Linked DNA regions of Tribolium castaneum. The protein of the gene in region 1 binds, or shares a complex with, the protein of each later gene. Links are inferred from orthologs where the notes say so. Each region holds a gene or a part of one and is shown on either strand. Other genes may lie near its edges. The genes, in order: beag, Prp38 and zinc finger matrin-type protein 2.

Evidence for each region.
Region 2: beag (region 1) and Prp38 share a complex: the UniProt entries of both Homo sapiens proteins name them as parts of the spliceosome B complex. The link is inferred for Tribolium castaneum from reciprocal best matches to the Homo sapiens genes IK and PRPF38A.
Region 3: beag (region 1) and zinc finger matrin-type protein 2 share a complex: the UniProt entries of both Homo sapiens proteins name them as parts of the spliceosome B complex. The link is inferred for Tribolium castaneum from reciprocal best matches to the Homo sapiens genes IK and ZMAT2.

The regions. Positions count from the first base shown.
Region 1 is NC_087401.1:16,338,087-16,341,821, reverse strand, and holds the start of beag (protein Red), read left to right. Parts: upstream 1-875; 5' UTR 876-1,173; coding exon 1,174-1,879; intron 1,880-3,647; coding exon 3,648-3,735. Other genes in the region: chromobox protein homolog 3, read right to left, coding at 1-461. UniProt on the Homo sapiens protein: Involved in pre-mRNA splicing as a component of the spliceosome. Auxiliary spliceosomal protein that regulates selection of alternative splice sites in a small set of target pre-mRNA species. Required for normal mitotic cell cycle progression.
Region 2 is NC_087396.1:19,988,204-19,991,294, reverse strand, and holds Prp38 (pre-mRNA-splicing factor 38), read left to right. Parts: upstream 1-1,459; 5' UTR 1,460-1,625; coding exon 1,626-2,093; intron 2,094-2,139; coding exon 2,140-2,535; 3' UTR 2,536-2,588; downstream 2,589-3,091. Other genes in the region: vacuolar fusion protein MON1 homolog, read right to left, coding at 2,671-3,091. UniProt on the Homo sapiens protein: Involved in pre-mRNA splicing as a component of the spliceosome.
Region 3 is NC_087395.1:20,717,095-20,719,816, reverse strand, and holds zinc finger matrin-type protein 2, read right to left. Parts: upstream 1,454-2,722; 5' UTR 1,337-1,453; coding exon 737-1,336; 3' UTR 688-736; coding exon of another isoform or gene 622-687; 3' UTR 580-621; downstream 1-579. Other genes in the region: uncharacterized protein LOC656218, read left to right, coding at 382-574, 622-687. UniProt on the Homo sapiens protein: Involved in pre-mRNA splicing as a component of the spliceosome.

The DNA.
Region 1 (3,735 bases):
ACAACTTGGGGGCACTTAATATTCGCCTGTTTCGCGGGCACTAAGTCCGCCTCATCTGTACCCTCCCACTTCATGAGGAACATCAACTGCCCGGAACTATCCGTGGCCCCGATTATTTTTTCGGGCTCTAGCCCCCTATCAAACCCGTGCACTTTCTTCTCGTCGTTCTTCCTCTTGGCCCCCTTCATGTCGGGCGTCGGCGTGCTGTTCATCTTGCGCTTCTTGCTGCGCTCCTTGTCTTTGTTGGCCCTTTCGGCCTCGAAAGCCGCAATCAGCCCGGGACAGTCCAGGTTCTCCTCGGGCTCCCATGTGTTGTCCTTGTCGTCGTAACCGATCCATTTCAAGTAGTATTCCTTAATACCGGCCGCATTTATCCGACTGTCGATTATTTTCTCCACAACGTACTCTTCGTTGGCCTCTTGGTCTGCGGGGGAAGGACTCGTCCTCTTGCTTTTGCTCATTGTGCCCTGATGGAGAAAACACACTGTACACACCGGGGGGCGCACGGGGCACACTTACGCCGAATTTTACTCAACTTTGGAGGGATTTCGTGCAAGAAATTAAAATAACTTCAAAAGCCGCAAAACAGACGCTTTGCTCACAATTTTCAAACAAACATGGCGGAGGTGCGCTCCGCCGGTAACAAGCAGGTTCCTACACCCCTATTTACTAATTTAATGAATTAAAAGCCCCAAATAGTGATATTTCCGGTGAATTATTTATTATTCAAGCCGTTTGCGTTTATTCACCGTAACGTAAAGCCCCCCCAGTATGAAAAAAACGGTGGTTAGGCGCCCCAACTGAATCTGCACTTTTTGGTTTGAAACTTTGATAAATTTTGTTTGCAAAAAAAAATACGTGTAGGTTTGCAAAAATACTTAATTAAATAATTACTAAGTGTTAGTTGTGGGACAGGGTTGGAAAGTTGTTTTTTTTTTAATTTTTTCTACGTGTTATCGACAAGAATTTGCTGTTTTTCCTTGATTATTTTGGTTAATTATTCGCGATAGTAATTGTAGTAAATGCAAAAAGCTTGTTTTTAGCATTTTGGGGCTATTTGGTCTCATTTGAAGTGGTTCACTGTAATTTTTTTCTGGCTAGGAGGAAGCAAGGTTATGTGATTGACAGTTGACAGTTCTAGTTGCAACATTCAGGCCCAGTTTTTGGTTAAAAATGCCTTCGGACGCGGCCCCCGGGTCGCAGCGGCTGACCAACGACGACTTCCGCAAGTTGTTGATGACCCCGCGGTCGGCGCCCGCGAACGCGCCCGCCCCCGGCTCCATCCGGGAGGCGATGGCCAACTCGTCGACGATGCCGCCCCCCAAAGACGACAAGAACGAGGCGCGACGCAAGAAGAAGAGCTACTACGCCAAGTTGAAGAAGCAGGAGGACAATAAGATGGCAGAACTGGCGGAGAAGTACCGAGACAGGGCCAGTGAGCGCCGCCAGGGGGTGAACCCCGACTACCAGAGCGACGACCCGGTGGCCACGGCTCAGGCCTATCGTGCCGTGGCGCCTGATCTGAAGTCGGGGTTCGATGCGGCCGAGAGGCGCCGACAGATGATTCAAGAGAGCAAGTTCTTGGGGGGCGATATGGAGCATACGCATTTGGTGAAGGGGCTGGATTATGCCCTGTTGCAGAAGGTGAGGAGCGAGATACAGCACATCGAGCAGGAGCAGGAGCAGGAGTTGGAGAGGCTGGCGGCCAAGACGGAGGAGAAGGAGAAGAAGGAGGTGCAGAAGAAGGATGAGGATGAGCTTAAGTTTAAGACGAAGATTGGGAAGTCGATTTACCACACGATTTGTGCGCTGAAGAGTCGGCATATTGAACGGTCGGAGATTTTTGTGCCCGGACGCATGGCCTATGTGATTGATTTGGGTATAGATAAATTTTTTTCTTATCAATTTTTACACATAAACTACGTATTATAGATTATGTCTGAAATTTTCAGCTGTTCAAGCCTGTAATTCTTATAGACATCTTCTTAAGTTTCGTTTAAAACATTTTCAGATATACCTTTTTATTGTTTCTGTACTTTTTTTTAGATTCTTTTCAAAATCACAAAATTTTTGTGATTTTTTCTTAAAGAGGTCTTTAGATCTTAAATCAGCAAAATTTTCGTTTAGATTCTCCTCTCTTGCTTATAAGAATTCTTCTCTAGTTTCTTTTATAATATTTCTTATTTATTTTTTAGCATTGTTTTTGTATTTTCCTTTAGATTTTTTTAAAGATTTTTGTGATTCTTTCTTAAAGAGGTCTTTAGATTTTAAATCAGCAAAATTTTTCTTTAAATTCTCTTTTCTCGCTTATAAAAATTCTTCTCTAGTTTCTTTTATAATATTTCTTATTTATTTTTTAGCATTGTTTTTGTACTTACCTTTAGATTTTTTTTAAAGATTTTTGTGATTCTTTCCTAAAGAGGTCTTTAGATTTTAAATCAGCAAAATTTTCCTTTAAATTCTCTTCTCTCGCGTATAAACATTCTTCTCTAGTTTCTTTTATAATATTTTTTATTTATTTTTTAGCATTGTTTCGGTATTTTCCTTTAGGTTTTTTTAAAGATTTTTGTGATTTTTTCCTAAAGAAGTCTTTAGATTTTAAATCAGCAAAATTTTCCTTTAAATTCTCTTCTCTCGCGTATAAACATTCTTCTCTAGTTTCTTTTATAATATTTTTTATTTATTTTTTAGCATTGTTTTTGTACTTACCTTTAGATTTTTTTTAAAGATTTTTGTGATTCTTTCCTAAAGAGGTCTTTAGATTTTAAATCAGCAAAATTTTCCTTTAAATTCTCTTCTCTCGCGTATAAACATTCTTCTCTAGTTTCTTTTATAATATTTTTTATTTATTTTTTAGCATTGTTTCGGTATTTTCCTTTAGGTTTTTTTAAAGATTTTTGTGATTTTTTCCTAAAGAAGTCTTTAGATTTTAAATCAGCAAAATTTTCCTTTAAATTCTCTTTTCTCGCTTATAAAAATTCTTCTCTAGTTTCTTTTATAATATTTCTTATTTATTTTTTAGCATTGTTTTTGTACTTACCTTTAGATTTTTTTAAAAGATTTTTGTGATTCTTTCCTAAAGAGGTCTTTAGATTTTAAATCAGCAAAATTTTCCTTTAAATTCTCCTTTCTCGCTTATAAAAATTCTTCTCTAGTTTCTTTTATAATATTTCTTATTTATTTTTTAGCATTGTTTTTGTACTTACCTTTAGATTTTTTTAAAAGATTTTTGTGATTCTTTCCTAAAGAGGTCTTTAGATTTTAAATCAGCAAAATTTTCCTTTAGATTCTCTTCTCTCGCTTATAAAAATTCTTGTCTAGTTTCTTTTAGAATTCTTCTTGTTCATTTTTTAGCATTGTTTTTTTACTGTCTTTTAGATTTTTTTAAAGATTTTTATGATTATCTCCTAAAGACTTCTTTAGATCTTAAATCCGCAATTTTTTTTATATTCTCCTCTCTCGCTTATAAAAATTCTTCTCTAGTTTCTTTTAGAATTGCTCTTATTTATTTTCTAGCATTGTTTCTGTACTTCTTTTTGGATTTTTTAAAGGTTTTTGTGATTCTTTTTTAAAAATTTTTACATGAATTTTAATGTTAAAATTCCTATTAATTTAATACCAACATGACTATTAAAATTTTATTTCAGACGATGAGGCTGAATCAGACATTCCAACAACTTTAATCCGTTCAATCGCCGACGTTCCGTCATTTGAACTCACCACAACCCTCACAAC
Region 2 (3,091 bases), on another chromosome or scaffold:
GTTACTCTATTTTGTTAATTAAATTATTTTGTACGACCTCTCATTTTGTTATTAATAAATACTCAAAAGTGAAATTCGTTTAGTTTTATTTTATCACGGGTGGAAGCGGCTTTTCTGCGAGCGAAAATATTGCAGTCATGCCATTATTCCCCCCGATTTTTCTTGTTAGGAAGTTCGGCCTAAATCTTGTTATATTTAGATAGTGCCAACTGTCTTGTACAGCATTTTGGTCATTAGGTGATTCATGTAACCACATCTAAACATCATTCTCATGTGGAACAATAACATGCGTGTGACATTTTATGTTCAGTGTATTTCTTGTGCTTCTTTTGGTTTTGTTGCTTATGTCCGACTGATTAGAAACAAAATTCTAGCATAGTTGAGTGTAAAACTTTGTGATCCAATGGACTGAAATCTTAGGATGTGTTGGATTCGTCATGTATACAAAAATTTGCAAATATTTTAACGAATTTAATATTTTTAAGGGATAAATTGTAAATAGTTAAAATTTTATTTGATAAGTATTTATTATTTTGTTATTAATATACGATATATACGAAAACTGCAATTCTGGAAACTTGTACCTAAACAAAAATGAGAAAAACGAGTGTGTTAGGAGCATTATTTTATATTGTATTACAAACGTATATTATAAATAAAAAACTTAAATCATTGGAAATAAATATTCACGCCCACTTTTTAAGTTAGTTGGAATGTTTATCGGGCTTAAACAATCTAAAAAAATATAAAAACAAAAAATTCTTCGAAAAATAACTTATGTATATAGTCCACACGTTTGCTGCCTGTGTTTCACTGTTATTGTTATTGTATTCACTCATTCTGTTATTGTCTGTTTTCCACAATACAAACATTGCAAGACTTTCTACAGCAGTTGATTTTCAATTTTACTCCACTTCGAGGTGGTGAACGTGTTAAGTAATAAGTAAATAGACACTAAATTTATAATATACTTCTCAACAAACATAAAATAGACAAATAAAGCTAATGCCTAACTGTCTCAATGTCATCAATAAAGTTTTTAAAACGATCGCAAGTGTTTGAATCACCCAATCCCCCAAAAAGCAATTTTACATCTTTAACAATACCATCGATACGCTCATTTGGATGCGTTAATAATTTTCTACTTGCATAAATACTATTTATTAAATTATGAGCGTTTGTTCATGTTTAAATTAGAATGGTGTCTGGTGGTAATAACCAAAGTTACCAAAGGTTGGCACTTTTTGTGGGATTCCCACCCGCGAGTCACGCCTGGGGACTAGACGATATTAGCAAATAAGTTTTTATGAGAAATTCGGGAAACGTGAAACTTGTTTATTATTGAAGAACTAAATTGTTTCATACGTGTACTATTGTTTAATTTTGTAATGTATAACCTTAGCCTGTATTTCCTAATTGGATTATTCACACAGTATTATTTGTCTGTAATTTTTTTCACAATGCAAAGCAAAAAGTCTGATAAGAGCGAACCATTTTTAACCTCACTTTGTGTTTACTACAAGCGTCAACAATTTCTTAGAATTTATTGATAAACTGTGCATTTCTGTCGAATTCAGTTGTGCATAAGGTGCGTTAGTGAGTTTACAAATTAAATTAGGCCAATTATGGCAAATAGGACCGTAAAAGATGCCAAATCAATCCATGGCACAAATCCCCAGTATCTGGTTGAAAAGATCATCAGATCGCGAATTTATGACTCTAAATACTGGAAGGAGGAATGTTTTGCCCTCACTGCAGAGCTTTTAGTAGACAAGGCAATGGAATTACGATTTGTGGGTGGTGTTTATGGTGGCAATATAAAGCCAACACCATTTTTATGTTTGACACTAAAAATGCTACAAATTCAACCAGAGAAAGACATTGTAGTTGAATTCATCAAAAACGAGGAGTTTAAATACGTCAGAGCCCTCGGTGCTTTCTACATGAGACTCACAGGGTCGTCCTTAGACTGTTACAAATATCTTGAGCCTTTGTACAACGACAACAGGAAGTTGCGGCGACAAAATCGCCAAGCGCAGTTTGAAATTGTACACATGGACGAGTTTATTGACGAATTGTTACGAGAGGAACGAGTACGTGTTTTTTTTGTTACGGTAGATAGTAAAATTAATTTTTAAGGTTTGTGATGTTATTTTGCCACGCATTCAAAAACGCATTGTTTTGGAAGAAAGCAACGAACTCGAAGCCAAGATCTCGGCCCTTGAAGACGACTTGGACGAAGAGATTGAACTTGAGGAAGAAAACAAGTACGAGTTGGTTGAAGAAAAGCCCAAAGAGAAGAAAGAAAGGGAGAGGAAGCGGGAACGCAGCAGATCCAGAGAAAGGCATCGCAGTCGGAGTAAGGAACGCCACAAGAAGGAGAAGGACAAGGAGAGGGACCGCGACCGGGAGAAGGAGCGCGATAGGGAGAGAAGAGACAGGGAGAAGGAGCGCAAGGACCGGGAGAAAGACCGCGAAAAAGAGCGAGATCGTAAGGATAAAGACAGGAAACGGGAGCGAGACAGACACCACTGATTTTTCAATACATCGTTTTATACAATCAATAATTAAATACATCAACAAGTTTAGGATTGTGAATATCACAGATTAAGCCTATACCTTAGATTTCCACAAAATTTACATATTTATAATATATACAAATCAAATGGCTCAAAAAGTGGGCGCATTGAGATGAAACAACTTCTCCTCCCTTTTCTTAATCCAGTTCAGCAGCCGCCCCACTGAGTTAATCGCACTGTTTGTGTCAATCAAGGGCTCGAAAACTACATAAAGCTCAAAACCTCTCGTATCCCACGCCAAAATCGCCTCGTCTGAGTTTTTCTCAAATAACAACTTTAGCGGCCTCGTCGAGCAATGCAACAAGTTATGCGCCCGTTTGTACAACTTTGTTAGTCTCTCGTTATATTTGGTGTACGGTGGGGTCAAGCTTGGTTGGTAGAACTGTGCTGTACTTTTGCATTTGTACAAATAGTGCCTAAGTTCGGGGAAACCCGCAACAATGCAAGTTTCTTCTTTCGCACTCAGCGACTCATTGATTGCTTCTAAGCAGTTGCTGCGTCGCAGTTTTTCC
Region 3 (2,722 bases), on another chromosome or scaffold:
AAGCATGACGTCAAGTCAAAGACATTTCATTGGTTTATTTGTAAGTGGTCGATATGGAATTTAGTAAAATTCATTTTTACAAAAAATAAAGATATTTTCACACCACACGCCACTGCGTTTTAACGCGATTACATCGAAAAGTTCGTTACGAACTTTGAAAAAATCGCCAAATTAGCCAAAAATATTGTTTTTACTTTTTTCAAGCCTTCAACAAGTTTTGGAGCTAAAAAGTTGAAAATATGCAATCAAGTTTGGTGCAACGGCAACTTAATAAAATATAATTAACATTTGAATTTAATAGTACTTACATGTTACCTTTGAGTGTTACGAAACTTATTTAACATCATGGGCTTCTTTGATCAAATATTTAATTGTTTTCAGGGCTTACAAAGACATAGCTGACTGTTATTACATCAAAACTGCGAAAGTGTGTGGAAACAGCGCTGCAGCAACAACTAAAGAACTTCTACAGTCGATAATTGACAGTATTCTCACAATAAGCTGTGACAATGTGAAGGAGACGCCCAAAGTCAAGGACCCAATGCCTGAGGAATATATGAAAAAAGAAAATAAGGCAACTTGTTCCTTCACATTTATTTCATTTACAATTATTTTTTACAGGCTGACACAATGATTCTTCCAACTGTACTTCACTTACTAGTTAGCATAATATTGATTTTTATTTAAACTTCAACAAATCTAAATTATTGTAATAAAGGTATTGAAAGACATTTTGCTACTTTTTTTTAGACGATCCAAAACCTGCAAATCCCATAATGCTAGCAAGCTCACTTGCTTGTTCAGATGTTTCTTCCAACATTTCCTCAGCTTTTCGCTTCTCTTTCCTTTTCTCCCTCCTGTATTCGCGTAGCTTTTCCTCTTCTTCGGCAATTTCCTGCATGCGAGCTGCCATATCGTAATCTTTTTTCTTCTCCTCCATTTTCCGCTTGTTTTGGTCAAACCTTCGTTTAACTGCGTCCAGACTGCTGCGTTCGATCCGCATCGACATTCCCAAGTTTCGTTGATGCTTTTTGCCATTGATGTGATCCAAAAAGTTGATTGAATCTTTAACAACACAGTCGCAGACGTTGCAGTAGTAGCCCCCCGATTGTGATGTTGGTGTGTTTTTGTTTATTACAATGCTTTTGCCAAGCTTTGAATCCAGGTCTACTTTATACTCTCGGGTTTTTAGCATTTCACGTTTCACCGGGGGGCCTTTCTTTTTCTTGGTTTCTTCTTCGAGGCGCTCGATTTCTTCCCTCTTGCGCTCCTCGGCTAACCTCTCGTATTCGTCCCTGTCCCATTTTCGGCGGTGGTCGTCTGGTCGCATAGTCATTTCTGATGATTTTTCTTTAGCAGGATCACAATCAATTAATAAAAACTCAAGTACAATAACAGTGTTGACAAACTGCAGTACACATTGACAGCTGTCAAATTTTCAAGGTTAGGTTATGTTGCTAACTTCATAAGAATAAAGGTTCATTTTCTAATAAATTGCGAATTTGCGCCATTCAGGATGTTTATATATATCATTAGATTATTACAATTGAATTCATTAAACTCATAGAATACTTAATAGATTTTTTAATTTTTTGGTTATTCGACTCTGCTATTACATCTAACGAAGTTAGCTGGGTTACCTGTTTAAAAATTTAAGATGGGAAAAGATCAAAAAAATCCCGTAATCAAGACAATTAGTTATTTATTTCAATTTTTTTATTAATTTTTAAAATCTAATTCACAGAATCTTTCGTTTGCAATTTTTCAGTCTGTGGCTGTTCAAACTACCACTACGTTATGAGTTAGTTATAAGTTATAAATACCAAAGAAAAAGTGGATAACTCAAAAAATTTAAATTTTTAACAAATTATTATTTTGGGTAGGCAACACAATATTCAAATGGCAGCCTACGCAACTAATTATACAGAGTGTTCCAAGTTTTATGGTCGAAGCAAAAATTAATATTCTAGTCGAGTACAAATAAATTAAATTAATTTAAATTACAAAAAATCAAATTGAATTTAATTCAAAATTAAACTAATTCAAATTAAGTAGCATTAAATACATTGACAAATGTCGAGTTAACCGCGATTAAAATTTAATTGCAATTAAAATGTTTTGTAAACCGGCGCTCTTAGTCTAGACAATTAATTACGCTACCATTTGATATTTTGAATGTGGTCAAGTATTAATTGCTGTGAAACATTATAAACCAATTTTTTAAAATAAAGTTCAAGGTGTATTTTCTATTATATGATAAAATTCTTTCAATATTTAAAACCGTAACTGCTAACATAGAATTATACGATTGTTGCCAACTTTTGAGTAATATTATTATTATTACATTATCAGAAAATTCTGATGTGGGCTCTATTCCACAAACGACTTTTACACTTTGCGCTTGCACGTTCCCGAACACCTTTATGTTCCACCAACAACAGTATTTTGCACACTTAGCAAAAAATATACTTAGCAAAAATACTTCTTTTTACAAAAATATGCCAAAACAAATGCAAAGATTGGTGGAAGACATTAACTTTAAAATTTGCAATTTATGCAAAATGCAAAGTTGCAAAAAATTTTAGTGGAACAAGGTGATATTTAGTGATTAAGGTGATATTAAAAAAAATATCAATTTTAAAAAGCCGATTATGGCGAAACTATAAAGATTGTAATCAAAATCTATTTGATACAATATTACATGCAGCGTTGAGCAAAAGTA